Lepisosteus oculatus: one gene and its partner. The protein of the gene in region 1 interacts with the protein of each later gene in a pairwise test. Links are inferred from orthologs where the notes say so. Each region holds a gene or a part of one and is shown on either strand. Other genes may lie near its edges. The genes, in order: rabenosyn-5 and ehd3.

Region 1 (16,927 bases):
ATACCTTAGTGCATCTATCAGCTCATAGTACTTCTGGACCTCCAGCCTGAGGCCATTGGCATGCTCTAAATTGTAGGTTGTCTCCCCAGCACTGAAAGTAAATAAAGGGATAAATTGGCAAAAAGAAAAATCATTAGTAAAAATGATTATTGTGGCTTAAGTGCTTGAAAACCAATATTGTTCTTCAAAGCACCGGCTACTATACTTTGGATTGTGTTATAAATCATCCAGATATTACTTACTTTAATGATTCTGCCATTTTTATATACTCAGGAGCCTTCTGATCCACTTTCTCAATGCAAATTCTCAGTTTCTAGAAAAAAGAGGAGGAAAAAATTTAGCAGTAGATAGAAATCATTCTCACGATCGTTCTGAAAATATGCTGTCACTTCTCATTACATTGATTTCAGAAATGCATCTGGCAGTGAATAATGATATGGTTAACAAATAATACCACTCGTAATAACTGGATAAGGAGTGATATTAGCTCAAGCTAAAGTTATTTCAGTCTTCACAGATCTTTCACAGTGACAGGAAATGGAAGCTGGAAGCACAGCACGAGCTAAGTCTTCTGTTTGTTCTGCATTCAAACCTTGGAAGTGCGATCACTGAGAAAAGGCTCACAGTGTGACCCGCAAAACCACCCGGAAGCAAATTCAGGGGTGGTCACAGACGTCATATGGTGTTATCAGTGGGATTTGAACCCATGCCTCCAAAAAAAAGACCAGACCACTTGTGTACAGTACGTCACAGAACAAAGAGAGACCAGACCGCTATTGTACCTCATAGAGCTTGACGATATCGGGCACGTGGTCCTTCTCTTCCAGCTTCTGCTGGCGCTTCAGAAGCACGTCCATGCAGTGGCGACAGCAACGGATACGGTCTTCGTCCTTCTCCTCCAGCACCGAGCTCACGCTACTCAGGCTGCTGATGCTTCCACGGCGGGAGCTCTGCACGCTGACACTGGATGACTGGCCGGGGCTACCTGGGGCACACAGGGCCTCCCTGGTGCCGCTTGTTAGCTTGTCTGACATGGGAAAAGCACCACAGCTCTAACCAACAACCAACAACTTCCACCTCAGCCTTCATCAGCTTGAATACAAGCATCTGGTAAAATAATAACCCCCCCCATCATTCAGAGAAAACCAAACAGCATGTGCCTTCTCTAATTTTCTCTGATCTGTTTGGTGGTTGAGAAATAATTAAGCAAAGTATTTGTTTAAAAAAAAGAACTAAAATGAGACACAAACTAATGTTTATATGATTGTATCCAGGTGGTTCCAAAGCCTGTGCACACTTAAATACTAACACTAACAAACCCTAATGTACTCAGAAATGGACCTTTTATATACAGTATGCATACCTATTTTCATTAAATAATCCTCCCCTGATGAGCCGGCATTCTAAACCAAAGCAAAAAGGAGATAACTACATGCATGTGCTCCAATACAAAAACAGTAGCAAATTGGGGGTTTATAGATTCATTAAATATTTATTTTCCTTGAATTCTCTGATCATTAATTCTGAGTTCCATCAGTTCCTAATACATTACAGATTTCAGTTCATCATTGAAGAATAAACTTATTCCAATATCTCTTTCTCCTACTTTTTCTTTCTTTTAAAGTCTTTTGTTCTTAGTTGTACTGGTCTTGTAAGTACGGTCTTTGTTGTATGATCTGGCAGGCCAGCTCTACAAAACATCCTTGTGCTCTCCACTCAAATGGGATTATACTACTTCATTTCTGCAAAAGCGCTCTGACAGATATTTTCCTGCTCTATCCAGCAATTCTGATTTAACCCACCATCAGAGCACTTAAATAATCAATGCAGTCACCCAAGATGAGGGAAAAGTGGCGTACACATCCAAAATATACCTGATACTTAATATTAGTTAGAACAAACAGTACAATATCTTTCTTCAAAGAACTGTGGGGGTTTAGTACAGATCCACACATTTTGTGCAGTCTGATCCTAAAATATCCTGTAAGGATTTTCAAAAGCAGAATTAAATACAATCTAAGCAACCTCAATGGACCAGCATATCTCTTCTCATATCTCTCTTTGCTATGTGCAGACAACACAGCATACAATGTGAGCAGATGCCCACAGCCAGGCCACAGGTAGGGGCTTCCAGAAAAGGTGGTCACTCACGTGCCAGGGGTAGGGTTACAAACTCCATGCACTTCTTGCACATGATGGATCCACAGAGACGGCAGTGGTGGCGTCTGTTTCGAATGTTGAACTTGTTGCCACAGTCAGGGCAGAATGGCACATCTTGATCATTTACCCACGAAACAACAGACTTTTCAATTGCTAAAGAAGAGAATTATAATAACCAACAGTTAAAAAACAGGGCGACTGAATATATAATTTAAAAGACTGACGAGTCTTCTACTCACCTCTAATTGTGGCAGCATCTGCATTGGTCCTATCGAATGATGTTAACTAATAGTGAGAAGGAAATACAAGACTTATGTATTGCTTAACGAACACATTTTCACATTTGTCACTTCTCATTATATTGATATCATAAATGTAATTCTTAGGGAAGAAAGCAGATCTGTACAAACTAGATAAGTACATGTAAAACTGTGACTGTGATAGTTCATCCTTTAGTGTATTGTATCACATAGTGTACTGTATCGGCTACACTGAAACACCAAGAATTAAAATCTACACCTGGATGAGCCGTCAAAGACATAATGGTTTACATACAGTATAAACATACTTTTTAAAATATTTTAATTTGTAGCATCTAGATATAATTCATTATTCACAACACAGAGATTGAAAGTTAAAAATGTCTCTGTGCTATAAAAGTGTGTTGATGAAATGTTGTATTTTATCTACCTAGTTTATCTGATGACCCATGAAATTGAAAGTTTGTTAGTCTAACAATAGGCATGAAACAAATTAAGTACAGAACTTGTTTTCGTTTGAGCTACACATCAGAGAATCTCTACAACAACTTTCAGTATTTTATCTCAGGAATGTCAGCAAACCCCTTTACAATGAGTGAAATACCACTCACCTTTTCCAATCTGATTATTAATTTATTTACTTCAATAACGTAGTGGTCAATTCGTGCAGCTCTGTGTTTCTTGAAGCTTTCTAGGTGACATCTGGTTGCACCTAGACATGGGGAAAAAGTATGTTGGCTGAATTATAATGCACTTTATATGGTATAAATGGACAGATCCATTCCTCTAGGATAACCCTAACCCTGGTACTGAGGAAACACAGTCTGCTGGTTTCCATGCCAGTTGACCTCTCAGCTGGTTTTCACTGCCAGGTAATGACTTAATTGATCAGCTTGCTTGTTTAGACTTTTATCAGATTTGTTTCTCCTGTCAATCCTGAGTGTCAAGAATTCTCTACTGCAAAGGGTGCTGTTTCCAACTTCAGCATGCAGAGTTTAGAGTCCCTCCTCAACGGGCTTGCTGTTATTTCTGACTAAACAGCTCTTTTACTTGTTCGTCACTTGATGATGAAAAGACACAGGTGGGAATGACAATGTATAAGACATACTCTGTATCAGGAGTGAAGTCCAATTGGTTATATTCAGTGGGAAAATACAGGTAGAGGGTTGACACCAATTGTAGATCCCATTTGATCTTTAATGATCCGAAAGCAAAGTTATAAACATGCCGCAAATAGAAAACTGAACTCCATTAGCTAGTGTTTTAAGGACAATTAAAACAGAGCAAAAAATGACACAGTGTTCCTCCAGGACCACTGAGAACCACTGATCTAGGGCTACAGGGTTCTCTGGTCTTACCTACACAACTATCTGATTATTTAGATAAAAACAGCTTGTTTTGTATGAATTACTAATGAAAAAGTAACAACGAAATGTGCAGGGCTCCAGCAAATGAAAGACTTCTACTTTTACACTTGTGAACCATCATAAGGTTATCTGCTTGGCAAGTAATTCACAACAACCGCAAACACAATAGTGAAATCTGTATTTGCAGCCTAATTTTTTATTAAACTATATGTAATGTAACCATCACCCACAAGTATTAAAACACATAAAGTGTTTATAAAAGAACCTAAATTCTACAAGTAAAAATACTGAATTTATCTCTGTAGTCCACCTGTGCCCGGTGGTTAAATAGTCATTAAATACAGTGATCGAATGGTTCAAGCATTTTTCCTTTTAAAAATTCATTTCGACTAACAACCTCATTGACTTATTTTGAAGCATCATCAAACTGAGTTAATCGATTCAAACCGTCACTCTCCTTTTTGCAGCGATATTTCTTTTTGCAAAATTCCTCACCCACTATTAGTGCTATATGGAGGCATGCATTTTAGTTGCACTGGCAAGTGCTTCATATGATTTGTATATTTTCCCGTTTTAATACATATTTTGAACAGGTCAGCTATACAGATACTGACCGCAGGGCCTTAGTTACCAGTGTTTCAGTCTTACCCAGTTCTTGGGGTTCCCACATATATGGATCAACTCCTCCATAGTAGAAAGACTCATAGCTCCCAGATTCAGCTCGGTCTTCCCCATCCCGCTTCAGGAGCTTGTCTTTGGCTTTCTTGGCTTTCTGCACCAGACCTTACAGGAGAGGAGAGACACCCGGAGGATTGCTTTGTTGTTACACACCTTGACGAGATGGCTGACCCCAGCTGATTTTACTGAGCTTTGTTCAATCGACATTTCAGTCAGGAGTCCTTCATTAGATAAGAGAAAGTAGCAGAAATGCCATGAATGAAGGTATAAATGGCTGAGTGAGAAAACAGTGTGAGAATTGAATAAAATAGGGAAACCCAGGCAGCAAATAAGCCTGAAATGCATGGAGGCTGTTGTCATCCAAGGATGTCTCTCTTATTATGTTTAAAATAGTCATGAAGCCACGCCTTCACTTCACCCCTGTCTCAACATGGCAACATCCAGACCTACGTCCTGCTTCCAGAAACCCTGAACTTGCATATGCTGAAGAACCAGAAGGCAGGGCTTAAACCAGATCCGAAATGAAATGGATCGACTAGTCTTTAAACAGCCCAAACTACTGCAAATTATTTTCTTCTGTCTGAACGCACAACAGACCCAAAAAAGTAATAAGTAATGTTTGATCAGGACACACGCTAAAAAAAGTCTGGCATTAGCTTGTTTGAGCAGGACACCTGCTTATAAAAGTTTGACATTAGCTCCTCTCTCACAAAAAGAAAAAAGATCAACTGCAACCTCAGCTGGAGAAGAAAAAACAAATGTTGAGGATTAATTAATAAAAATTCCTTACACTTACATAGTGCTTGACAGATAATAGGGACTCCATTACCACCAATATGTAGCCCCCACCTGGATGATGCAACAGCAGCCAAAGTGTGCTGGTACACTCACCACACATCAGCTATCAGTGGGGAGGAGAATAGAGTGATGAAGCCCCATAGATGGGGATTATGAGGCCATGAATGGTAAAGACCAAGGATATTTGCCCAAGACACAAGTGTACATCCTGAGATTTTTAATCACACAGAGTGTCGGGAACATGGTTTTACATCTCATCCAAAGGACAGTGCCTTTTTTATTTATTTTTTTACAGTGTCCCCATCACTATAATGGGGAATTAGGAGCCACACACACTGTAGGGTAAGCACCCCTTACTGGTCCCACTTACACCACTTCCAGCAGCAACCTTAGTTTTTCCCAGGAGGTCTCCCATCCAGGTACTGGCCAGACTTACACCTGCTCAGCTTCAGTGAGTTGTCAGTTATGAGTTGCAGGGTGATAGAGCTCCTAGCCTAACCTAACATAAGGTTTTAAAGCTAGCTCTTACTTTTTATCTGTCCCTTGACGTCCCTGTCTTCCCCAGAGTGCTCGTCCTCATAGTGTGCCTGGAGCTGGTAGAAGGACTGCAGGTCCTTCAGGCACAGCGGACAGAGAAAGCCTTCCCTCACCTCCCCCTGTTCCTCGAACGGAGGTGGGTAGCTGGATGCCATTTTTGAAATGCGGGCTGCTGGTAGACAAAAGCTGTGGAGAAACGGAACTGCTGGTGCCAGAGAGAGGCTCTCCCAGAGCAATATGGCTGCCTCATAGTGCTCCAAGCCGGAGGAAAACTTTAGCCTTTAGGTCTTCCATGGCCATAAGCCACCCACATAGAACCTAAAAAAACATCAAAACATTCAGTAAAAATAACCTACATTTTCTTTATGAGCTACTGCATTCATGATTTTCTTACTTTTAAAATATTCAATATTTTACAGTGTGGGTGATAAGCACAGGACAGGTCGAATGAAGAACTTGTGTTGGGACAGTGTAAAAATGCTTTAAAATCAGAATTCAATAAGGCATTCAACAATCAGACAGCACTGTCCTGCTTAGACAGCAGTTTCATTTTTGCAACATTAAGTATTAAAACAGAAACAAATGCTTCTATGCATTACATTTTCCAATTGGGAGTTTTCCAATTGTTCTCCAAGTGGGAGTGTGAGTCATTTACTTCCTGCATTGCACTTCCATTATGGAATTATATCAGGAAACCTTAAATGGATAAACCAGTCAAGAAAGCATGTTTTTAACAGTAAATACAAATAGTTAGTTTTCAGCTTGTGACTATGATGTAACTAGAATCACAGACATTTCACTACCACTGCAATAATTCAGTATTAATATTTTTTCAGTACTGCTGTATCCAACTAAAAGTAAATAATGAGATCGAAGTAAATAATTGTTTTAGCAAAAATGTGAAACTCTTAAAACATGATACAGAAATGGTTTATACACAAAAGTAACATTTCACTGAGCTGTTTACCATGAAAATAAATGACAACAAGAACTCTTTAATATAGAGTATTAAAATAGTTTAAACATACAGGACACAGAAGTTTGAGAAGTTCTATGGATACCTGAAAAAAACTAATTCTGACTGTGTCAGGCACTGTGGAGCCTGAAGTTCACTCAATTAATGAGTAAGGATTGGTAAAGGATTTGTTGCCAATAGCCAAGTTTTTTTTTAATTGGTAATTAAAAATTGGGATGTTGTATTATAAACACTAATTGGCAATTCCAGATTAAAAACAAATCAAGGCAATGGTTTAGAAATACACCACACAACTCTTGGTCTGTTTTCTCCTAATCTGCTTGATTTAATAGCACTATAAAGTCTTCCTTATCTTCATCACAGACTAGAAAAAAGAGACAGCTGCTCTTAATTTAACATTGTCCCTGTTATATTTAATCCCTTGGGCCTGCAATCAGAAATCAGAGCTGCAGGCTTCAGCACATATTAAAAGGGTGCAATATACTAAATTCACTAACAGCAGCGGGGAACAGTATACTAGAACAGAAAAGGTCGTACAGATGTTAAAAGCCTCAGCTGAGTTTCTCATAATGAAACGCTTGTAAGGTCCACACCTCTCAATGGCTTCTTAATGGCCTTCTTTTGACGGGAAACGCAGGCGTGTAGGCACACCCAAAGAAATTAAAACAATTTAATGTTTATTCTATCAGCTGAAGTGTTCAGTGTTTTAACTCAAAACAGCATGTCAATACTGTTTTAAAATTTGAAAATGCAAAAAGAAAAACCATTTAGCGAAAAGCGCTACACAAAACCGTTATAATCACGAAAGGCCAGGACGGCTGCTCCAAACGAGCACAATTTGAAGGAGGTAGCAGGAGGCTTGATTCGTACTCTTCGGTCAGTTACCGAGAGGCATGGGGTGGCCGATTGGATTTGTTTCACTTGGTGAATACTTCACAATATCGCCTCCTTAAAGAGTCGTGCAAATCTTCTGTAACCCTCAACACAACATGGTTATTCTCTGTGTGAAATAAGGCTTGAAGGCTTAAAAAATGGAGACGAACAAGACAAGTAAGTAGTCCTTGACTGTCGATTACAATAAGGACGTGTTCACGGATGTCTTGGGATCCGCTGTTTCTTAAGCGTTTTGTTTTAATCACTATACTTTTAGATGATTTTATACTCACTCACTAAAACCACAAAAACAATCTAAAGATCTATTATCAACCCTCACGAAGCATTTCGCGTGGCATGTTTAAAAGCATATAATCATTAATGTTTTGGGTCTATAGTAACATTAAATATATATGACAAAGACAAACTCTTGATGGGATTTAATCAAGTTTCATTTACAAAATGTTATTGGTTAATCGTGTAACAGAAACAAACACTGTGTTGCAAACGCAGTAATTAAAGAGACATAATCGGTCTAGTTTCAGCATCAGAATACCTGAAAAATTAATCAAACCGATAAGGAAAACCTTAGTGTTCTTTCGCTGAACTGGATCTGTTACTACACAATGCAGAAATCACACAACAGAAAATAACCCGATCCAGGCGAGAAAAGCAATCATCCGTCGTACATACAAAACGGATCAAGTAATCGAGGCGCTAATACTCACAAATCACGCTGTGTAGATCTTTTTTACTGATAGTACAGTATATTTTGACAGGTGCCGATCGCTGGCTACATAGAATACACTCTCCACAGGTGAAAGGTTACCCACGGCCCTGCCAGTCACATGACGTGCCACGTGATTACAGTGCAGCGCAGTGTAGCGGATAGGAAGGCAAAGAGGACATACAGCACTAAAACATATTTTCTGGGGTCTTCTGTTGCATGTGGATTAACAGTTGATCTACATATCATGTATGACTTCTTTCAGAAGGAATGTTTGCATTAGAATACATCTGCTTACCAACAATTCTTGTTGGTAAGCAAATTATACATGGCATTTTTTTTATATATTTATTTTTTATTTTAGTCTGAAAAATTCATCATCAATTGCTGTGTGGCTCAGTGGCACAGTGGTTTGTATTGCTGCCTCACAGTGTTGGGACCCTGGGTTCAATTCCAGACTTGGGGAGCTATCTGTGTGGAATTTGTACTGTATGTTCTCGCCAGGTTCATGTGAATTTCCTCTGGGGTGCTCCATTTTCCTCCCACAGACCAAAGACATACTGATAGACTAACCGGATTCTGGGAAAACTGGCCCTGGTGTGAGTGTGAACGTGCACATGGGTCTGTGTGTACCTTGAGATGGACTTGCATCCCGCTCAGGGGGCATCCTGACTTACACCCCTTGTTTTCCAGATAGTGTCCAGAAACCCTGTATTGGATACAGCAGTGAGACAATTGATGGATGAATATTTGATGTGACCAGTTCATTCATTACCAGCTTGTCCCAGCTCTTCATTTGTCAGCCTGCAGAACCAGGATTAAAGAACCCTGGTCTAGACACATTGGCAAAACTAGAGGGAAACAAAAAATCTACTACACAACACGTGCCTGAACAGATATCACATTTGTTATTATTGTTTGTTATCACTCCTCCTTTTTTCTTGTATTATTGTTATTTTGGTTATCCTAAAATTTATCACTGCAGATAGAACTCACCAGTGTGTGTTTTGTCTTTTGACTTTTTTCAATTTTTTAAAAACCCCTGTTAGCCTTTTTTATTGTTTTTTTTCTTTTCCACTTTAAGAGCATAAGAAAGGTTGCAACCAAGAGGAGACTATTCAGTACATCTAGCTTTGTCTGGTTGTTTGAGAATCTCATCTAGCCATTTCTTGCAAGCAGCTAAGGGCAGGGACTTGAGTTGTTTAAGATTATGCTAAAATGTGGAGACTGTGGACCAGAAGCTGCTACTCTTCCTTTTTTTTAAATGAAAGTCCTGCTTAATCCAGTGTCTTTAAATCTTGTTTTGTACTTTATTTAGTTGGAACCTTGGCTCATCTCATGCTGAGTCATCCTTTCCTGTTTTTTCCAGCTAAGGCTTCTGGGAGATGCTTCATTTGGTCCAGGTTAAAAACTTCTTCCTCCTTTGTGCTCATCAGTGCTGCCATCTGGAGTCTCCCTCTTTAGGAATTTAAACCAGCAACCTTCCAGCCACAGGTGCAGATCCTTAGCCAGAGTGCCACCGATAATATGGGAAATCAAAAGTTGGCCTGTGTTATAGTTTTTGTTAAGTGTTGATTGCAGCTGGTCTTATACAACCTTGCATTATACACATTTTGTTATACTCATAATGAAGGTTGACTTGACAACTGCGTCTCTGTCTGTCCAATTTAATTGGAAGTCTTATTCCAATTAAAAACCCTTTATTTCTTCTTTAAATGAAATTTTGTGTTTATTGAGCATTAAAATTGATTTTCTATTGTGAGTGTTGTTTTCTCGTCTCACACCTGAAACACTGCCTTCTTGTCGAAGACGGTTCCTGCTGAAGTCAGCCTGCAAATCTCTACTAATGAGGAGTGCAAAATCATAACAATGTGAGTTCTTCACGGAATATAAAAGGATTTGTATTTTGCACTGTTCGTATTAAGCAAACTTATCGCTTTGTGCAGCATGATGCATTGTGGAAATTTCTTTCCACAGAAGTACAACCAAGAGAGGCGTCATGTCTCACTGACACTCAGAACCTAAGTTTTCCACGGAACAAGTCCACAGCAATTCTGACAGGGCAGAGTAATGAAGAGAGCGTTTTGTTAATGAAATGGATAATGCTGGGTTTACTCTATATGTGGTTGGGAGGGTAAGAGGTTGTTGATGAAACCCTCTGTGAAGGTGGGGAGAACAAAACAAACTTCACGCAGGCAAGAGCCTCCAACTGGATTTCAAATGGAATGAAGTTAAGGATCCTGGAGCTGTGGCAGTGGTACTAACCACTGTGTTAGCCGAGCTGGAACAAATCAATAAAACTCCTGATGAATTGAACAGTATTCCGTCATACAGTACGTGCTGATCTTGTGGGTTCTGCATGATACTTTCTCCATTTATTTTTATACACTTACACAGACCCAAGATTCTGAATTTGACTGGGTTTGTCCTGAAAAGTTTAGAGTTGTAATCTAAGAATAAATCCTCTATCTAACCTGCACTCATTGTTTGGATTTGGAAATACAATTATGGTTAGAAAGGAACGATACATTTTGGTCTTAACTGAAAATGGCTGCTTTCCAAAGGCTTCTTGAGGAGATACACTTTAACTAGTTTACACTTTATAAATGCGCCTTTTAAAAACTGGAAATCCAAAGGAGACTTGTTGAAATGGTCTGTGGCTGAGAAAATATGAGCAGCTGGAAACATTATTGGAGCATCCCTTTCTTCCATTCATGTCATCTTTCACAAACACTGTATGCACAAGGCTTCCAGTATAGTAGATGACCCCCCCCACCCCCACCCCTCCCATAAATTCTTTGCTCTCCTACCATCTGGAAGAAGATATTGCAGTATACGGGCTCGCTCCACCAGATTCTGTAACAGCTTTTTCCCACAGGCTGTTAGGCTTCTCAACACCTGGGTACTTACTTGCACCCACTCCAATTCCAGAAACAAGGTTTAAAATCCCCCCAGTGTTTAGTGTATATTGTGTGATGTATTGTTTTATACTATTCTGCAACAGTTAAATTACACCATGTATATAACCTGTGTACATGGCCACTGTCTTAGTTTGCACAATCGTATGTATTAATATTAGCATTGCTAGTCCTGTCTACATTGTCCATGTCAGTGTCTTATCTGTAATTGCACCGTGGACCAGGAGGAATGATATTTTGTATACTGTATACACTGTATACTTATATATGGCTGGAATGACAAACTTGAACTTGATCTCTGTCTATATAACCTATATAAACTCTTCTTCAACCACTGGGTGGCAGCATTGGTTCAAGTTGCAAAAGGCTGCCACTGTGAAGCACCACTGAGGTGTATATACGTGAGCTGGTGGAATTTAAAAAGCCCCATCAATCATTTTAGACCCCAGACCAATTTCCGCTTTTCTGTCCTGAAGACCAGCAATAGGTGGTAATAATATAATTTTTGTTTGGCAAGGCAAATGATACTTGGCATTTTTAGAGTTTTCATGGTATTTGATCTGCGTGCTTAGGATAAGACAGCAAAGCAACAGAATTCAAAACTATGCTTCTGAAATTGCATTGAGCTTGTAAGGAATAATGTTAAACTACTGAATGCTATCATTTGTGGCTTTGTACTAAGAAGAAACTGTTGGAACTTTTGTTAACTGAAGATAGAGCTTTTCAGATACCATGTATCTGATGTACAAGATGTCATCATTCTTTTTGTCTTAAATATCATATCATAATAATTGCTGCCAGGAAGCATAGTAGTACAGTCATTAGCATTGCTGCCTCACAGTGCTGGTTTGATTAATGACCTGGGGTGCTATCTGTGTCAAGTTTGTATGTTCTCCCAGTGTTTGCATGTTTCCTCCCAGTGTCCAAAGACATACTGGTAGGTTAATTGGCTTCTGGGAATATTGCTCTTAGTGTGAGTATGTGCATGTCTGCGTGTGCCCAGCAATGGGCTGGTGTCCCATCCAGGGTGTATCCTGCCTTGTGCCCATTGCTTACAGGATAGGCAACCCTGAATTGGATGAAGCAGTTAGAAAATGGGTGGATGGATAAACGCTGACTGGTTTTGTTAGGAGAAACATTTGTTCTGTACATTCAGAATGGCAATAAATATTTTCAACACTCAGTCATGTTATTTGTCTTTGATGAAATGGTTAGAAAGACAAGAACAGAGATATGATTTATCTGCAACATCTTCGAATACACAGTAACTAGACAATATTTGTAAATCTCCTATTTAGTGCTTTCATATATGATCCTGATTGAAGCTTGCATTGAGTTGAATTCTGTTAAAGTGCTTTCAATACAACATCTTTGTTGCTACTATGTTTATATGAAATAGTGTTCTATGAATTTTAGGGGGAATAGAATGTTTGTTTGGGAGCTTGAACATTGTGCATTAACAACTGTCTAGTCCTTAGTTGTACCTAGATTAGCAAAATGAATAGTAGTAAAAAACAAATAGTATGCAAAAGGTGAATGGTAGCAAAATTGAATTAATTCCATAGATATGGAACATAATTATTAATAGTGCAATATACGTTTTACTATCTGTTTTTTCACATGGTTCTCATTCAATTTTCAGATTTTATTTTCTGAAGTTAATGGAATGTTTTTTACTTTAATCTTTGATCCTGATTGTTTAAGTATCTTCAGAGCATGGTTTCCATATTCTGGAAGGTGCGATTAAAAAAACGCCAACAAGTAAATGTGAAATTAAAATTAATTGGATGCTATTTGCAATGCTCATTTAGAAAAGGGTAGTTGGAAATTAGCATAGAAAAGTCTCTCTCTCCTGAGGATTTGGAGGCAGGGGTGAGTAGCTTGTAAATGTATGCACCTGCCCACACTTCAGGCATCTCCCTGAAGAAATGATAAATTCTAAGTGGTTTGTCTTTCATTCTCTCCTCAGAGATATTGTGGAAGGTATGATACTCTAAATTTTCAGTGGATGAGGCATAGGCTGAGGAAAACTTTATCCAGTTTGCTAAAGGCTTACCTACAGTACAAAGCTTATGTATATACATGAGAGTAGAATAAAGACTGATATTCCAAACAATTTGTAATATATCATGTTTTGGTTAACATCTAACAAGTACTGCGATTGCCTAAGGCTATGGATTAGTTTTAAGTTAATCAAACGTCATTTTCCAAAAGTCCAAAACTTGGAATGGAATAAAGATGCTGGCAGTGAATGGTTAATAACCACCTTCAATACATTGTCCACCTTCAGGCTATAAGACAAGAAAATTACCTCCTGTTTAACCAGTACCTTTGCTTTAATTATAATCCTTCAGTATGTCAGGAGTGGAGACTACAATGTCCTGATTGGTGTGTCTAGTACAGATGCTTCGTGTTTTCTATACACTGCTTTGCAGTATTAAATTGGAAGGAGAGCACTGTATGCCTAATAACATGCAATTAGTTTTGATTTACATAGACAGAGAGGTGCAGTAGTTGCTCATCTGATTTAGCTGCAGACCTTTCATATAATATTGGGAGGTGGTAATTTTCAGCCTTCCACCACAATGTGAGTGAGTTTGTAGTTCAGTTTATTATTTATTTTGTTGCTTTTAAATATCCATTTAAGAAATTCACTAAGAAAGCAAAATGACAAAATATCCATTCGGAATACTGAAATTGTGTCTAGGAGATTTACAGTTTACTCTTTGGTGGACTCTAAGAGTTCCTTCATAGTATATAGAGTCTGTCAAAATTGCCTGTTGTTCATTAGAAAGCTGCTTTATGTCCAGCACAGACATACTGTATGCTCCAAGGAAAGAAGTATAGTATTCTTGGTCTCTGGATCTTGAAAAGAGATCCGGAAAATAAGTTAAACTCCAAAGTACTGCGTAAGGTAGGCTTCAGGAGTAGTTTATTTATAAGGTACTCAAGGATTGTCTCAGATAAGTTACTTTGAATTTTTCTGTCCCATTGTAAAGCATGGTTTATGAATTCAAAATCCAGAACAGTTCATTGTGTTTAAATCTTTGTGGTTGTGTGCTCTTGTGAAGGGATAATGATAGGCTCAATCGGGTAGTAGGTTTTTACTGTGTATCATAACAAATAGAAGGAATAATGTACTTTCATAAATGTTGATATCTTAGCAACCTTCCTGGAGAAATCGTATTTGCAAAAGCTGGCTCTAATGTTCCAGCCTTCCTTTATGGAAGTGCTCTTATATACATATAAATAAATCATGTATGGACCCATATGGTGAGGTGTTCCAGGGATATGAACTGGAAGTTGTAGGACTTTCTGCTGTAAATACTTTGAATTAATGTCCATATTAGACTTCCTAATCGTTTTAATAGATTTACCATCTTTTATTTTTCCCTGAAATGTCACCTTTTGAAATGTCAGGTTTTCATCTCTACATAATCTGCAAGTCCGTTCAAGTTCTTTGTCAATTCCATAAAGACATGTACAGTATTTATAGTATCCTATGAAAAATAGAAAAAAATGCCTTATAAGGGGTTGGTCCATCTCTAGCAGTGTTACAGCTGCAACATGTAATAGCATCAATTCTAAGAACATCTGATCTAGTAGAACTGGTCCAGAAGTCACAGAGGTACTCCAGGAACAATGTCTGAGAAGCAATGCACTGCCTAATTCACTGAGCTGTATGTGGAGATATACTGTAGGACCCTTCAACCAGCAGCAGATCACACAGCTTTGAAAGAGATGAGGGTAGTAGTTCAGTACCTTCAGGGAGCCTAAAGTGTCCGTACTGTTAATGTTTTCTTAGATTTGCCCACCACTACCCAAGAGCCCTTGAGGACGTATAGATTGACATGTTAGCCAGGTCTGCTGCTATCTTTAGCACTACATCAGAGATACAGTATCTGTACCAGCAGATATGCCTGTTGTGAAGTGACATACATCAGCCTTCTTTCCTTATCCCACTGAAGTAAAGGCATGGTCTTCTGCTACTTTTGTAAGATTCGTGGGATGTACTATATGGTGGGCCATTCCCACTTATTTGGACAGGATGGGTGACCCCTAATTCTAATATTTTGGAATACTGGGATACAATACTGTAGCTAATTAAAAGTACATTGAACACTAGAAATCTCCAGTTCCAGAACATTATTTTAGTATGAGAGAAATTGTTCCCTGAAACCAGGACTCAATCGATAAATACAGTACAGTGAAAATCCCTAAGTCTATTTGGTTATTACATGTTATCCTCATATCCTGTAATTGACTTGCTTATATTCTGCAGACTTGCTTAATAAGTTGTCAGCTGTCTGCCTTTGATGCTTCTCATACACAGCTGAGAACGCTAACATGACAGAAATAAAAGACTAAAGACTTCCATTTCTGGTGCAATTTTGTGGCAAAACACAAGTACAAAAGAACAAATAAGTGTATCTCAATAGCTAAGTTAGAAGCAGGTAAGAGAAACAGACTGTAGATGAGAAGTGCGGTGTTGTTTCTTTTTCTGTTGGCGTGGAAACTGATCTGCAGCTTGATTAGTCTGTGGTTTGGTAGATGAATTAAGTGCTTGACACTGAATTTGTATATTTAATGGTTCAGTGGTTTGTAAACTACAAAAAGCAATAGGATATTATTTACTAATAATTATTTACAATGTTTTGCAAACCTCACTGTTTGCTTACCTTACCTGACAATCATTGTAAAGAGCTTGGGTGGCAGATAAGAGATCTCCTATGCACTGACAGCACATCACAGTTAACATCTTACTAGCACCCTGCCTCCTACTACCTTACTAGAAATTGTGGGATACGCAAACTGCTTGTGTTAAATATTTTAAGTACAATCCTTGCCCGTTGGTGCTATTGTACAATCCCAAGCATACTAATTCATCTGAATTATATTTTGCACCACCATTTAATTGTAATTAAAGATTGACTACAACCCCTTTCAAGCTCATTCTTTATGTATTAAGTATTGTTACCAGAACAAATAGTAGGATAGACCAGCTGGAATCCAAACGTTCATTTTGCAGAACTCTGTGAAACAGCACAGTACATTATTATTTACACTGTCCATCATTAAGTTACATTAAAACATGTTTGAATGAATAGAATGATACTCGCTTTGTTTGGTGCAATTGACTCGCCTTACATTTAAGATCCTGTAAATAACGCAGCACCACTCGCCACACTTGGAAATCCTATAGTTCTTAGCATTACATTTTGATTACATTTACAAAGACACTGGAGAAATTCAAGTTCCATCTTTGCTTTTTTGCCTCCTCCATATCAATTATTTTGAATGGCTTATATGTTCAGAAATAAATCAAGATTCGGTAGGACAGAAGTCTTATTTCAGTCCCTGAAGTACCTTCCCTTCCGGGGGAGTGTGTTTCTGGAGTGGTCTTCCTGTCGTAGAGGGACTTGTGATTTCACTACTCCACATGCTGCACATAAACCTTTGAGACTGTCTTATTATTCTACTGGACATGTGCTTAGTAGAATAATAAGGGCTGCTAGAAGCTTTTAAAATTGATTCCTTGGCCTCACATTTGCCTTAGTACCACCATCACTCTTCTCTTAGTGCAGCTGATCTATACCTTGACTTGAGGTCAAACTTGGCAATATTTGAGCCAT
Region 2 (16,174 bases), on another chromosome or scaffold:
AATGCTACAGTATATGCTAAACGCTACATATTAATGTTTTCATCGCAATATGTCAAAATTAACAATGTCATTTTCTGTGGATGTGAATGTTTCAGGCATTCATTTGTTTGAGAAGTTAAAGAAATGGGAAATATGTTGCCCAGCACTATCAAATAGCAGGGGAATCCATGGCTGTTGCCCTAAAAACCAACACCATATTTTGCACCTGCTGCACTTCAGGCTACATTATATAACACTGCAACATAAATTACATTATATAGTTTTGCAACATAGATTATGTAGCTTGTATTTGAAAAATGTGTGGAATTTTAAAATTCAGCAGTTCTACTACTCTGGGATAAGAAATAAGCCCATGTTTAAAGAGCTATATGTGCTTAATGCGTAGTGTACAAGGGACAAAAAATTAAATTATGACAAGTACTGTCATGTTTAATTTTGCCAGGGAGAAATCTGTTAACTGTTCCAAAGATGTCAACTTCTATGTAAATTTGCTTTATTTTGAAACCTTGCAGATCATTCTCAATCACCCACTCTGACTAAAAGTATTAAGTCTAACCTTTCCATTTAATATAAATTTCGCTTTTGAAGCAACTTGGAAAGGAAGAGCATAACAAATAGAAAGGTCCTGTCAAACAACAGCTGAGACTGTAAGACAACTTCAGTAACTCCAGGGGGTAAGAAAATGGCCTCACTGACAAAACCTTGTCCAGTATAACAATTAAATAATGAGATAAAGTAGCATATTATCACAATACACTACTTAACAAAAGAAAACTGGTTGTAGCAAATAGAAACTGAACTCAAGAAACAAAACAGAAATTTGAAAAGGACTGACACACTTTAATGTATGCACACTGCTTTTTAATATCATACCGATACAAAAGGCCAGTTTCTTTACAAATAATTTTTCTAAAGAAAATAGTTAAAAAATAGCCTTCAACATCTGTAATGTCTCTCAATACATAGGTTTTGTTGTTTAGAGCTATCAGACTTCATTTAAACTAAACTCTTTTAAACGACAACTTCAATATGGGTCTCCAGCATCTATAGTAACGGCCATTTTACCAAATAATCCACAAAGATTTTCTAAAACGTGCCTAAAGGAAAGTGAAAGAGGAAGAACAAAAATAAAAGCATCCCTATTCTCTATTCTTGTAATAGTTGGTGGTTTGGAAATGTCATCATCCTACAATGAATCTTTGGTGAAAGTCTGTAAATACTGAACACTGCAAGTTTTTAAAACACCATATTAGTTTTTGAGGTTTTGATCCTGATGATAAATGACACTTCCTAAACCACAAATGGCACAATAAAAAAAAATGCTGCACGCTCATTCTAACATTGTACAAGCAGCCTCTGACAAATGGTTTCGAACATTTTTGCATTTGGCATAACCGATGTATTTGGAGGTATGTGCATGATAAATGCTCATAGCAACAATCTGATTAAAATCATGTGAAAAAGTAAAAGAAAGGATCCGTCACCTGAACACACCCAAACAAGATTTTTCTTCTTTCTACTTTTCACCACAGAATTAAACTGTACTTGTTCCTTCACAGCACAAAGCTGACACAGTTCCCCGCTCAAACTACAACATGTACATGTTTGATTGTGATCTTTACTTCAAAGTATAATCATAGCTCCTGCCAGTAAACCATTTAGTAAAAATTTAGATAAAAAAATTAAAAGATGGAGCAGCATGTCAACTGAGGGACCTTTGCTGTATGTCCACATTCTGAAAACATGTCTGACTTTTGCAAAACAGTTGAGCTATTGCGAATGATCCCTTTACACCTTTCTTATCTGGATTATTATTTTGGCCCTCAATAATCTTTTGAATTTAGTGCTGGATTTTCTTCAATGTGGTACACAGCAAGGCCAAGATACCTGAAAAATGAGAAGCTTTCCAACTCACCTATTGAGAAAAGCATTGCCGAATGCATTGAGCTTTCTGAAAGGCTTCTTCGGATCCACCACCAGCGCGTTTCCAGGGATCAGCCCTTCCACGTCACCATGCATTACCGCAATAAAGGAGTCGGTTGTGGGCTCCGGGCCAATTCGCATGCCAGGGAAGTCCTGCTCCAAGAGGTACCTTTCCAAATAAAAAGAAAAGCAATGAGAAAAAAAATCTTCCTGAGCGCTGGGCTGTATCTTTCATCTAAATGAAAAAGATTGACCAATCTAATCTTCTTAGTCTACAGCCTTTGCTTGATTCCTTCAACATGTGCTTCATTTCAATCTTAAGTATAACCTTCAGTCTACAGAACAGTTAAAAGTTAGAGATTAATTTCTCTCAATTTCACAGGCCGTATTCCAAGGACTGGGGGTGAGGATCATGGGCAATTTAACTTAATTCATTCTTCATTGAGTGACACTATTCTAAAATGTGAAGTGTATATGTGTGAAATCTTCTCCTGAAAGCATTTGTGTGCTGAGTAGTCACAGTTCGGAGCCATTCGGCCTGAAATTGGCTAGTTTTGTCTCCAGCTGTGAATGCCCTGCCTATGACATAAACCGCAATGTATCACATACATGGAGAATGAAGCACAAAACAGAACACAAAGTGAGAAAAACTGATGCTTATAAGACTATATACTGTACATAAAGGTTAAAGATGAAAGCACATTAAGCCAATACAACTTGTGCCCTGCGCAGTGTTCTTGAAGCAGTCATCTGTGTGTCTGTGTGTCTCATGGAGAGTAAGTTGGGGTATGTGAAAAGATAATTCCTAATGCAAGAAATTGTAAAGTGTTAATAAAGTGATGTTATTATTATCTCCACATAACATATATATTCTGCCTCTGTTTCATTTGCATTTGATAACCTGCAGAGCAAGGCCTCAGAACTGTTCACTGAGCAAAATGATTCAGAATTGGTTATGTGCTGAAAAACAATCACAGTTGATTCCACTGGATCACAAAACCTACAGCAAGTACCATTATTTAGACTTCATGAATTATGATTCCTATCCTGTTCTTTATCGAAACCTTTCCAGAACAAAACATCAATGCTGGGACATTAATCTGCAATTATTAAACAATGAAAAGGTTGGTTCACATACGTACTTTATGAACCATACCATATTAGGAGACACAAGGTGGTTCATAAACCACAAAGGAGACATGCAGCTTTTTTCAATGGTATTTTTTCATATTTACCAGGCTCCATTTAAAAATGGTATGCCATGGGAAACAATGAACAATGTTTAGCTAGAAATGTATTATAAAAAGAATTGCTCAGGATGAAACCCCAGCACTTCTGCCTATTTTGGGGAAGAAGCAATCATGTTTTCAAAGACAAAGTTCTCCATATTATTAAGTGTCAGATGCCTATCAAACTTGGCATAGCGTTTAAAACTTTAAAAAATTCACAGTTCTGACAGTAGAATAGCTAACAAGATCCGACACCTGCTCACCGTCCGTCTTTCACTGGAGTCCAGCTCACGGCTTGTCGTTACTTGAGAACACGATTTTTTTCTTGGATGAAATCTCTGCTGAGCAATAAAGATTCTACACAGCAAGTCATTCCTGACAGCCACAATGACGTCACATACTGGAAACTGCTGAACCTTTCCAAAACATTACTTTGATGACTACCGCAAAGTCAGGAGAACAGAAAACAATCAAACATCTTGACATAAGTCCATGTAAAGTTTTATTTTTTTATTTCAGAAATTTCTTACATTTCCCCACCTTTTAAATGTTTTTTGGTATTTTTACATTTAAAATAATATAACTACTTGTTATATTGGAGCTCCTTCCTAAAGTGCGCGGTGGCTCTGTGGCTAAGGATCTGCACCTGTGACTGGAAGGTTGCCGGTTCAAATCCCATGGCTGGCAGAGGAATCCTACTCCGTTGGGCCCCTGAGCAAGACCCTTAACCTCAACTGCTCCAGGAGTGCCGTATAAATGGCTGACCCTGTGCTCTGACCCCAAGCTTCTCTCCCTGTCTGTGTATCTCATGGAGAGCAAGCTGGGGTATGTGAACAAATTCCTAATGCAAGAAATTTTATATGGCTAATAAAGTTCTCTCTCTCTTATCTTATCCAACAATCACTAAGCACATCTCTTAAATGAGGCCAGAAAACCAGAAGCACATCACATCACTGGTACATATGATGTCTATAGCACTAAGGCAGCTGGAACCTCTTCTATGAGTAATATAATAGAGAAAACTGAATGAAAGTCCTATTTTGCAAGACGATACTTATGGAATGGTTTTATCCAGTATGCAATCTTCTTTGTTCTATAAAACATCCTACTACATTTACAGTACTCCCCAGAACTAACACTTAGGCAAACTGCAAAATTCACAGATCCATCACATTTGCAGATGACTAAAAGAAAAAGCACCTCATTCTACTCCACTATTAGTGCCTCCTTGGCCTAGATGGGACAGAACACAGAAGTTTTAATTGTATTTGCCAGCACATAAAGGTTTACAACTTTTTGTTTTTACCAAATTTACAAATTGCTAAGCCAGCTGCCCAGAATATTTTTATCTGACAGGGATAATCCACTAACTGCTGATCTCCACTGCAGTGTGTGATGAAGGGGGTAAAAATGTACAATATAATCAGAAATAATAAAGCTTACATTTCGGAACTCAGCAGTTGTGAGGAACCAAGTATTTTCACAGGATGAGAGAATTCCATAAGTAAGCTGGGAATTACACCTGGACATTGTATTTAAACAAATACTTGCAGCTTTCCTGCCCAAACCTGTGCTCTAACAACTCTTAAGAATGGAAGCAGAAGATGGCCCACTAACACTGGCACTGTTTAGCAGGAACTTCCTATTAGGTCTTCAGCAGTTAATAAGCTTCCATTATGTATGGTACAAGAAGAGACAAATACTCAACTTCCAGCTATTCAAAATCAACTGCTCTGGACCAAACTAAACCATGCACTACCAATTACAGTCGCCGAAATACCTTCCAATTTAACCAGAATACCTATGGAGATACTTCACTGTATTTTTTCAAGGAGTAAGCAGGTCTAGGCATTATTTGAGCCAAAACTTACTTGGATAATCCCAACTGTTCTTAGGTTCTGGTTTTTCAAACTGATTTCACAGCTGAATGTTTTCCACAGACCATAAACAATCAGTGGCAGGTATTTTAAAAGGATACAAAAAAAGACTGCATGGTAAATGCCATACAATAAACAGTAAAGACAAGTAAACATAGTTCTGGTTATGATCTGAGAAAATTAACTGCAAACAATCTGACAATACACCAGCAGACAGCTATACTGCAAACTGGCACAACAGTCAATCTGATGAATTCTTGTTAGCTTGTGTGCTGAACCAACAGTGCAAATTACAAAGTTTCATCCAGGTGACGTTTGTAAGAAACAAGATGCTTCTGTGACAATGCCCAACCTTTAAAAGTCAATTATCAGTAACAAACATGTGAAGAGATATTTAATGCACACATGACTGCAGTTGAATATGTCATTAATACTGTATAAATGCCTAAGCAGACACACTCACAGGCTAAAGCACAGACAATTAAGGTCTAGCTCATTTAATCCTCAAAGATAAAGTTATAACATAGAACACCAGGGTTAAGGGAACCACATGTCACTGGGTCATTTGTTAGTCTATGTGGGAAACTGCAGCTAGCATAAATCTTAAATTTACAACAGATCATGGGCTTGTGCTTATGAGCACCAGGATGTTCTTTTCCCGGGGTATCTGAAATATGACTCCTGCATATTTCACAATCTGAAGCTCATACTGCACTGTAGCAGTCTGAGCTTCTTCAGACTGTAGCTTTATGTAAGGACAATGCCAGTCAAATCTGATACAGGTCTTAATTAAATTTAAAATACATAAACTAACAAGCGGAGGAACCTGTATTCTAAAGGGAACTGTGACATAGATACGGCAGTAGCAGGTTGTTTTCATTACTGAATTTACGCTCGCAAAATAATGAGTTGCTGCGTTTCATAATACAGTTGGGTGAGGGACAACTCATTTCTATGTCACGCAATGTTTTCACAGCAGTATACTGTGTAATGTCTGGACTTATTGAGGTATTTATTACTGTACATCTGCTCACTGAATGATCAGTCATTTTATTAAATGAGGGCCTTACCCTTCATATACACAAGTCTACAATAACGTTGGCAAATAAGAAAAAGGTCACTTCTTATGTTACCGCTATAATATGCTCTGAACAATATAAAAACTAATTAACTTTGCGGCTGAATAATACTGGATTAGTATCAATGAAAAGAACAAAATCAGTAATGTGATATGGGCAAACAAGAGCGATCTTGTGTGCAGCGCCTGCTGTCCGATATTCATTGCGGACACGCAAATACCTGTACTTACCGAATGAAGCTGGTCTTCCCAGTGGAGTACTGTCCCACCAGCAGTATCATTGGTTTGTTGTCAAAATCGGCATCCTCCAGCGCCGGCGAATGGAACTCGTGAAATTTGTAGTGCTCTTCCAGGGGCAACAGCTTCGTCTTGTACAGCTTCTTCAGCCCCTCGCTCACGGTCTGAAACACTTCAGGGTCCTTCTTCCTCCTGTCATCATTACCCAACCAGCTGAACATGATGCAATTCGGTAATCGATAACTTTACACTATCAGTAATCTATGCAATTTAAAGAATTGGAGTGTTCTTTGAAAACACGCAGCGTGGTTACTAAATTGCGTAGTGTTCCCCCACTTTAAAGAAAAAGATACTTCCTTTGCAATTGTTTTTCAGATGGCGTTCTTAAAAGCTTTTCAAATGTGTTAGTATTTAATCAGAACATACTTCGCCATCAAAATTTCTTCATTGACAGCGTCCTCTCTTTCCAGGTAACCACAATCCGCTTTTTGCTTTAAAGGCCGAGATCGCCAAAATGCATTCAGCTTTATCTTGAGATGATCTCGCACTGTCTCCTGTAAAAATGTTACACATAGAGAATTAAAAGCACAACCCAAGATTTCATTCAAACTGCAGAGGAATCCGAGTAGAAGTCATATTTACAGCATATCTTCTTACATTCGAAATACTACAGGAATAAACGTGTCCTTCGACTATGACCCCTCGAATTGTGTACTTAAAACTTTAAAAACGTAAATGACTATAATAAATTTAAAAAAATGTATAATTAAGACGCTATGCCTACTGCTCTGTACAATCTCAGACGACCACAGGTTCCCCGGCTTCTTCACTGCAGCTGATTTAAATACCAGACCTCTGGAAATATGATCGTACAGGAAATGCCCAACTACTGGCAAAGCCCCACCCATGACACTAGAGGACTGAAGTCACTGATGTCAGCGCCATATTAGCGGAAGAGGTACTATCTCCGCACGTCATAGAAACGCCTAGAAAACAATCATTTACTTGTATTTGCGGCAATGACTAAAACATAGCTCCATCTGGCGGTTGTAATAGTGACTTCATTAAATTAAATGATACCAAAGGCTATTTCAAAAACACGTTCAGTGGAAAGTTGCCTTCAGAGCGGGCATTTTTAATGAAATCGTTGTTATCCGATCCTACTCATGGATGGCCGGTCTGTATATTTTCCAGATCTATTCAAAACAACAGCACTTGAAGATCTGGAATAATTGATTAAAGTGATCGATTAAAAAAATAACAAGCTCATTAAGGTATTCGTTTTTAAACTATAGCTGACTGGGAATGAAGATATACGGATAAAACATGACTAGGATTGGAAAACCCTGAATTAAATTATTTCTTAGCACACCAAACTTTCGTTTTACATTAACCTGCAGTATTTCTTGTTATCAAAGAAACTGAACAACAACACTTATCAAACTAGACACTGATATGTTATATCACTAATACCCACTCCATCATGTCTTCCGTTTTCATTCCAAATATTCTGGAATCTCAACGATTGTAGTTGAATCAGTTATGTTATTAACTGGCATAAGTCACCTGTTTCCATTACTCATTGATAATTATTGTAACGACCGCGGGACTCGGCACGAAATGGAGCAGGCGTAGAACTCTGGAAAAGGGGTTGAACAACACATTTATTAACCAGAACCGGGGAAAGGTTACCACACACAGGGACAGGGGTTACAGCGCTGCATCTACACTAACAAAGACACAGAAGGGAAGAGGCCACCTCGCGCCACCTGCCTCCTTATATACAGTCCGATTTCCCCAAGACCTGGCTTTCTTGAGGCATCTAACAGAGTAAATATCCTTGATGTTCAGTAGCACGCACTGGGTAGTGTTTTGAACCAGTTTCACCACCCTCTGGAGTACCTTGCACTCCCTGGTGGAGCAGTTACAATACCAAACCAGGCAGTAATGTAGCCGGTTAGGATGCTTTCAGTGGTGCATCTGTAGAAGTTGGAAAGGATGTTTGAAGGCATGTCGAACTTCTTTAGTCTGCGGAGAAAGAATAGGCGCTGCCGTGCTGTCTTGGCTATGAGGTTGGTGTGGTGGGTCCAGGTTAGATCGTCTGTGATGTTGACACCTAGGAATTTGAAATGGTGGTTTTCTTGAAGCAACAGGGGACAGTGCATTGAGTGAGGGAGAGATTAAATATATCCGTGGAGGTGTCTACCAGTTGATCTGCGCGAGCCTTTAATGTAAACTAAAGCAGAAACTTTTCCCAGAGGCTGGGAATGTTAAAAAAGCATGGGGATGAAAGTTCAATGGGACTTGGAAAGACCAGCTGAATAGTTTAACTAAAAGGTTTCTTTGGCCTTGCTAATTTCCTCTGCATGCAAGAGCCGGGTAAATTCCCATGATCTCAAGGCCTGTTTTTCTTGAAACAGCTTCAAACAGCTTAGGTGACCTCAGGAACTCCTGGAACAGTTACACTCAGCCCCTGGATCGATGGTTTCACACTGCAACAGAAAAGACTAGTACAGTATATAAAGTGTGCACCCTAGAGATGCACACAGATGTGTAGATGTGTAGGGATGTTAAACATCCCAAAGGATGCTCCCCCATACTTAAGCACCAAAATTAAAGGAACACTATGGGGTACTGTGCTGCTTCTCTGACACTCACAGCACATACTGTACCTTGTCAAATTGTGACCATACCAACCTTCAAATTAAACTTCAAGTAGCCTTTGTTAACAGAATGAAAGCTAGTCTGATTCAGTGGCCAAGCAATGATACTTCATTTTCTGGAGAGCTTTGAACCTTCAGATAAAAGTTTGCTATATATACGCCACAATCAATTAATAATAAATAACTGCATTTATTTATCACTTTTCATCCTAAAGGATCACAAAGCACTTACATAAAGGTGGGGACCCACTTTATCCATCGCTGTAGTGCAATTCCACACCTGGGTGATGTGCTGTGGCTTTTATGCACCAGCATGATGAGCATTTTTCAAATCAATTAAATTATGGGGGGCTTTAGGTAGACCCAAGTGCAAGCCCAGTGTGGAATTTAGCCAGGGTCCTGGGGTTGCAACCCTACTCTTAAATACAGTGCAATGGGATCCTTAATGGGTAGCCAGAACCGCAACAATAGTTTTTAATGTTGGGTCCACAGTTCAAAATTTAGTTCAATGGAAGTGACCCAAAACCCCTCAATGCAGCATTGGTTTTTATAAATTCTGGTCCTGTGGTATATGTGCTACTTTACTATCCATCAACATGACTTAAAGTGGCAACCTAATGTCCATTGGAGGTCTCCCATCCAGATAATAACAAGGCTCAGCCTTGCTTAGCTGCTAAGATGTGATGAAATCAAGCTGGAAGGAGACAGCATTTTGTGGGACTTGTTTCCTACTGTTTCGATTATTTGCATTACTCCCAGGCAGCTTGCACATGTCACACAGGCCCTACAATAACACAAACGCTGGCAGTCTTACACAGGAAAAGCAGCACCTTGCTTCTGTTTTTACAGCTCCAGAGACCTTAACTGCTTCCACAGAGCCTTCACTCAGTGGTCAATTTTCCATCAATCTGAACCAGCCAGCAATCTGCAAGAGATCTCAGACTTCACCCTTGTAGTGACCATCTGACCAGGTAATCAAAAGCTTTTTCTTGCATTTTCTTGACTTTTCACTGAAATGAAAGTTTTGATCACTTATTTGCTCCAGTTTGTGCCATTAAAAAGGTACAATACATAGTTAATTGTCTTAAAAAGGCTTTCCCAGATATTCATTAACCTTTGTACCCTCTCTGACTCAATTAGATTTATTTGTGTTATCCTTCTGTGTCTGTGTTTAGATTTACCATAAACCCACTGCAGTACACTGCCAGACAAAATTCAACACCAGGAGGCACCAACAGCAAAGCTACTTAAGAACAATTCAAGCCAGCGGTTCTCAACTCTCCTAAAACATAATAAAAGGTTACAAACAAGAGGAGGCTATTTGGCCCATGTGGTGGTTAGTAACATATTGTTTCATATATCTCATCCAGCTGTTTCTTGAACGAAACCAAAGTGTGGGCTATTCAGTGTTCTCTACACTCCCATTATTCAATGGGTAAATGTGTGCTTCCTATTTTCAGTTTTAGGTAGGTAGTGTACTGGAGCAATTCAGGTGAAGGACCTGGCTCAAAAAACCTACAAACTCCTTCAAATCCCTACCCAGAGCCCTAGAGGCCCCTGGAGGTTGTATACATATTTAAATCAGCAGCACATGAACACCTGAGAAAATCTATTAACCTGCTACTAATTAGTCACTAATTAGTCCAACTTATTATAAGAATTTGTTAAAATTTGTACTTGAATGAAAAATCCAGACCCTAGAAGATTGAGTTTGGGAATACTGCAAGTTTACAGTTGGTCATCTACAGTGTTTTGCATACTTGATAAAAAACATGTAAGATATTAATTATAATTCTCCACTATCAGCTCTTGGCAGCGTTTAAGAAGTACAACCTTGTATCATTACACTCCCCATATTTTAAACACAATTCAAAGTTGTGTGATTTTTTATAACCTACTTCTTTATCTTTTTCTCTATCTTTAAACATAGTTTATGAGCTCTATTGTCTTAGATGCACATTGTAGTTGGAACTAGACAACCCTACTCTCTTATCCTAGCGTTAATCCTGCATCAGCAGGGTCCGCTTGTCGGCACGCCCATCTCCATTTGGTGGTTTGAACCAAATCTTTGGTATCTTTGGTAAATACTGGGGCATTAGGACCCACATGGACCACAGGGTGAGCGCCCTCTTCTGGCTTCACTAACACCTCTTCCAGCAGCAACCCTAGTTTTTCCCAGGAGGTCTCTCATCCAGGTACTGACCAGGCTCACACCTGCTTAGCTTCAGTGGGCTGCCAATTGTAAGTTGCAGGGTGATATGGCTGCAAGCGAACTAGACAACCCTACTGTACAACTCAAATGAACACCCTTTACACTGGGCATTCCTTTTCATTCCTGTCATTTCATTCAATTTTGAAGCCTAACCTTTTTCAGAAAAATCTAGAAAAATCTCATCTAATTGATGGTAATGATACTCCAATATACTGTACAATACTTTTTTTTAGAAGCCTGGTGTCTAGATCTGATTAAAGTGAAGCTGACATGTAGGGTAATACAGTGTTAGGGGAGCGCACTTGACATTTTAAGGCAGGCAATGGCTGAACTGAAAGAAGCAAGAAAGCCAACAGGAATTATTATATGCTTCCTCACAGCAATTTGGGTTCTGGGCTCAATTTCAGGCATGGGTGCCTTCAGTGTGACATTCACATATTCCCCCATGGGAAGTTCTTGTCTTTTTTTTCCAAATATTTCAGTTTCCTCCCACCTTCTGAAGGTTAATGATGTCTCTAAATGTCTCTGAACATTTTTAGAATGTTTTTTTTAATTCCGTTTGCATCCTCTACAGCTTTTCTGAATCTTCTTTTGGTATCATTTGGCAAACTTGCCTAGTTTGCTAACTACTGTATATCAGCCAAGATCATTGATAAGCATTACAAAGGGTAGTGGTCCTAATGCAGGCAGTTGCTGATATATGTTGGAACCAGAAAGTCATGTTATATAGTGAAACGATGTACAGTATAAAGGGGAATTTTAACTCATAAAAACAATATAAAAATGGAGGGTTTAGGACTGTAAGAGTGTAAACCTTTCTCTTGTGACTCAAAGTGGGAGGCTCTTCCCCCATAGGGATTCATGGAAGAGTTGGGTTAGTGACCAAAAGTTAGACTGTATTTCACTTGTACTGTAGCTACCCAAATACAGTACTGGGGGTGAAGTTACAGTATAGTCCAGGTTACATTCTTAAATAACATAATTTGTACAGTAGCAATATGACTTATAAAGGGAAATTAATATCCATATGGAATTTTGTAATTAGCTTGAGATATATTCCTTATAAAAAACAATAATTAGAAACAGACAATTAGTGTCACTAACTCCTTTCAAATTGTAGCCAAAACCAACAAGTCAATTGCTGTTTCAGGGTAGGGCTCTTTTCTACACACACTTCATGCATTGGAAGTTAGTGATGCCACCTTGGTCCATATATGTCACAAGTCATTGTTACTCAATTCTCACCTTAAACAACTAATCAGAAACCTGCAGGGCGTGGTAACCCCACGTGGGTCTGAAATGCCCGCCAAACTCTCAACCAATCATTGCACATCTGTCACAATCGTAATCCCTCCTCTTAAGGGCACTCTGGCCCTTTCGTATTTTAGTTGATTTCATGTACCTGCCCCCTGTTCTGTCTCCTCATTTAAGCCTGGCGCTCTCGCTGTTCCATTGGGAGATGGACGCCCAGAAGCCCGCCTACAAGCGGGTCCAGGAGAGACCCAACGGGATAGGCTTCATCACAGCAGCCTGACCATCTGAGTCCAGGGCTTGGAGCATCTGGCCTCGTCATCCTGATTTTATTCCCTGTCCCTGTTCCGGATCCTGTTTCGGATGTCTATGTACTGTGTGAATGCTAACCTTAACCCTAGCTGGGGTGTCAACTGAGTCATTCCTTAATCAATATCTGAATTCCTCCGGGCATCGGATTTTGACATATTCCCCCAACCAAAAAGTATGGGTGTGAAACAGTCAAAAGCAGTGTTAAAAGCTCTAGCAAATATTTTAGATTCTAAAATGTTTGCTTGCAACTTTTGATCCGACCGATTCAGTTTTGGGATACAAATACCGAGTGGTGCACCGCATTATCCAGTCACCGAAAAGTTTCCAAAGAATAAAAATAAAGCTGATTTGGGCCCAAAATCCAGGGATGAGCTTAAAATTCCTACATTTACAAGAGGTTTTATCAATTCTTTAGTTTGTTTCACACTCATACTTTTTGGCTGGGGGAACATGGTAAAATCCGAGACCAGTAGGGCTTCAGATGCTCAGATTTTGGGGCACAAGCCAAGTTTAGGACAAGTGATTTTTTGCTCCTTTCTGAAAATAAGATGGGGCCTCATTTAGGAAAGCACAGCAACACTTACTGTAATTCTGTCTTATTTATAAGCATTGCTGCTACACTAGGCACAACCTCACTGATAGAATCAATGGACCAAGGTGGCATCAATAACTTCAAATGCATGAATGCTGATTGGATGTTGCCGCAGAGACAGAGGCTGCCAGCTGATCTTTTGTGTCTGTGCATCGGGAAATACAGTACCAATCCATATCTGGATAAGTAACCTAATATTCCACATTGCCAATCAAGAATTCAATTATATCTCAACAAGTGTTGATCTTAATTTAATTCATATGAGTAATGTATTTACTTTTGAGTATCTAATGTAGAAGTTGTATTAATGAAACTGATTAACAAAATGGTATTGCTGAATGGTATACTGAAGCATATTCCTTGTTTGCATCTCTTTGTGTTTTGCATCTCTTCATGATTATATACAGTACCTTCCATTTTGATAACCCTCACAGTAAGATCTGCCATCTGTATCCAGGCAGACTGTGATATGTTTTATATGTACAATTTATGTATTCATAAATATATCTTGTGTATTGAATTAATGTGTGTGCCTTGCTGACTGTTCCTGATGATTGATTGTCTAATAGCCATAAAAGAATCACCTCGTGGTTTACTGCTACAATTAATAAATTGTCCCAGTAATTTCACAAAACTCCTACTGTAGTAATAAAACCTTAACATTAATGTTGGGGCATAATGATTCATAATCTAAGTCATGGGCATCGGCATTATCTAGAAGAAAAACTTTAATGTTAGATTTAGGTCTTAGCAATATTTATTTCATTTCCAGAACACAATCATCTACAGACCCCTTACTTCGCTGTTTTTTGGCTGAAGAATGATGTAAGCACAGAGAAGTTTGGTAGAGTTAAATAATTCATCGGCCAGTAAGTACACAAGTCGGGAGATGTACAGTATAACAGGGACCTCCTGTGCACCACTACATACTGTACATCACTCCAATTAGAGCATTCACTCCTCACCTGCACTCTCTTTCCTATCCATCAACCAGTTCTCAATCCAGACAAACACAATAGTTTTGAACCAGGATGCCCTGGACTTCCTGGAAATGCTACAGCCACGACTTCTTCATGTAAACCAACGGGCTAGCACAATTAAGACTTCAGTGCATTTGAAAATGAAAAGGATGTTTCAGAATTGGATTGTCTGTGTTGGATGAGTTTGAATCACTAAGATATCCTCCTTAACAGAAACCCCTGGAGATAATGAGGTAAGTGCCAGCTTTCAGTGTTGTCTATATACAGCTGCACCACCCCTCCAGTTAGTGCTGAATCTTCTGTAAGTCACTACAGAGCCTGCAGTGTGTGATGGACAATTTGTTCTGGCAGGAAAGTGGGTCACAGTTCTGCGTACAGAACTGTGACTGTGACCGTGTTTGTGAGGGTTTCCTCCAGGTGTTCTGGTTTCCTTCCATTGCCCAAAATCATACTGTTAGGTTGATTGGATTCTAAGAAAAACTGGCCCTGGTCTGAGTGTGTGTGACTGGTGTCCCCTCCAGGGTGTATCTAGCCAGTGCCGGCTTTCCCAGTAGACAATGTAGACACCGTGCCTAGGGCCTACGCAATTATTAGGGCCTACGAAGGAGGGAAACGCTAGTGACTAACGAAAAATGAGTTGAAACAACATGCCTGCCATCGACTCTAGGTGCTCTAAATTACTAATCATATGCTATCATTGGTTGTTCTAGAAACTAGAAGTATCAAAGAGATGGTCGCTCGACTCGCTCCATCAATTGCGTGATTTAGCATTACAGTAGTTTAAAGTGTATCATGTCAATCGACGTAAATCAATTGGCATTTACCTCTCTTTTTGCACATTTCGGAGTGAAAGTGCCAAGGGCCTACAGACACCAAGATCTAGCCCTGTATCCAGCCTCGTGCCCTCTCTTTCCAGGAAAGGTTCTGGCTCCTCTGTGACCCTGTATTGGACAAAGAGTTTAGAAGATGGATGGATAATTGATAAACAGAAAGATTTGTGTATGAACTGTTTATTTTTAGTTTTCAAGCTGCTTGTTTCATTATTGTCTTTCATTTGTGGATTTTTTTTTCAGATTTCAATAGGATATATGAGTAAAACCTGCTACGAACAAAGAGAGATTTAAATGGAACACTTAAATGATTTGAATAGAGCTGTGCCTAAAATTCCTAAATCCTCTCTCCCCTTCCTTCTCTCCATGTATCTTAGTCATGTATCACATTTCCACCCACGTCTTTATTTTTTATCTTACCGTAATCCTATTTACAGTATGACGTTTTAAGCAAAAGCATTTTTCATGTAGTTTAATAACTAAAATGTTCCCTCCACTATAAAACAGAGTTGTCTTTATTGAAATCACATTGTGAATGGAGGGTTCCCAGAAATAAATCTATTTTTTCCACATACCTGAAAATAGATTAAATGAATCACATTTGTGTGCACTAGATTTTATCTGAAGGAAGGAATATACGATACATATTCTATAAAAGTCCATATTTTTAAAGAACTGTTTTAAAACCAGTCTGTATCTGTTTAGTGTGGGGCTCTGTTTTTTATAATGAACAGAGTGCCTACTGTAAGCACAAGCAATGTGAGCATCCGATTCTATTAAATATCATCATACAACCGTGCTAATAACTTACTAGTGGTGTTGGAGGGGAATCCCCATTATCTGTTAAGTGCTTTGAGTGGAGTGTCCAGAAAAGCACAATATAAGTGTAAGGAATTTATGATGGTGATGATGATGATGATGATGATGATGATTGTATAGAGTTTAGAGCTTCAAATGATTACAATATGTTCCAGTTGTCCCTCTTGATCC

Evidence for each region.
Region 2: the proteins of rabenosyn-5 (region 1) and ehd3 interact in binary tests that used the Homo sapiens proteins (3 or more experiments, as listed by UniProt). The link is inferred for Lepisosteus oculatus from reciprocal best matches to the Homo sapiens genes RBSN and EHD3.

Annotation. Positions count from the first base shown.
Region 1 is NC_090699.1:55,414,173-55,431,099, forward strand, and holds the start of rabenosyn-5, read right to left. Parts: upstream 8,484-16,927; 5' UTR 8,378-8,483; intron 6,119-8,377; 5' UTR 5,956-6,118; coding exon 5,793-5,955; intron 4,571-5,792; coding exon 4,436-4,570; intron 3,133-4,435; coding exon 3,032-3,132; intron 2,446-3,031; coding exon 2,400-2,445; intron 2,314-2,399; coding exon 2,152-2,313; intron 1,028-2,151; coding exon 783-1,027; intron 314-782; coding exon 243-313; intron 92-242; coding exon 5-91; intron 1-4. UniProt on the Homo sapiens protein: Rab4/Rab5 effector protein acting in early endocytic membrane fusion and membrane trafficking of recycling endosomes. Required for endosome fusion either homotypically or with clathrin coated vesicles.
Region 2 is NC_090697.1:18,386,966-18,403,139, forward strand, and holds the start of ehd3 (EH domain-containing protein 3), read right to left. Parts: upstream 7,233-16,174; 5' UTR 7,129-7,232; exon of another isoform or gene 6,899-7,128; 5' UTR 6,779-6,898; coding exon of another isoform or gene 6,771-6,778; 5' UTR 6,566-6,770; coding exon 6,339-6,565; intron 2,093-6,338; coding exon 1,916-2,092; intron 1-1,915. UniProt on the Homo sapiens protein: ATP- and membrane-binding protein that controls membrane reorganization/tubulation upon ATP hydrolysis. In vitro causes tubulation of endocytic membranes. Binding to phosphatidic acid induces its membrane tubulation activity.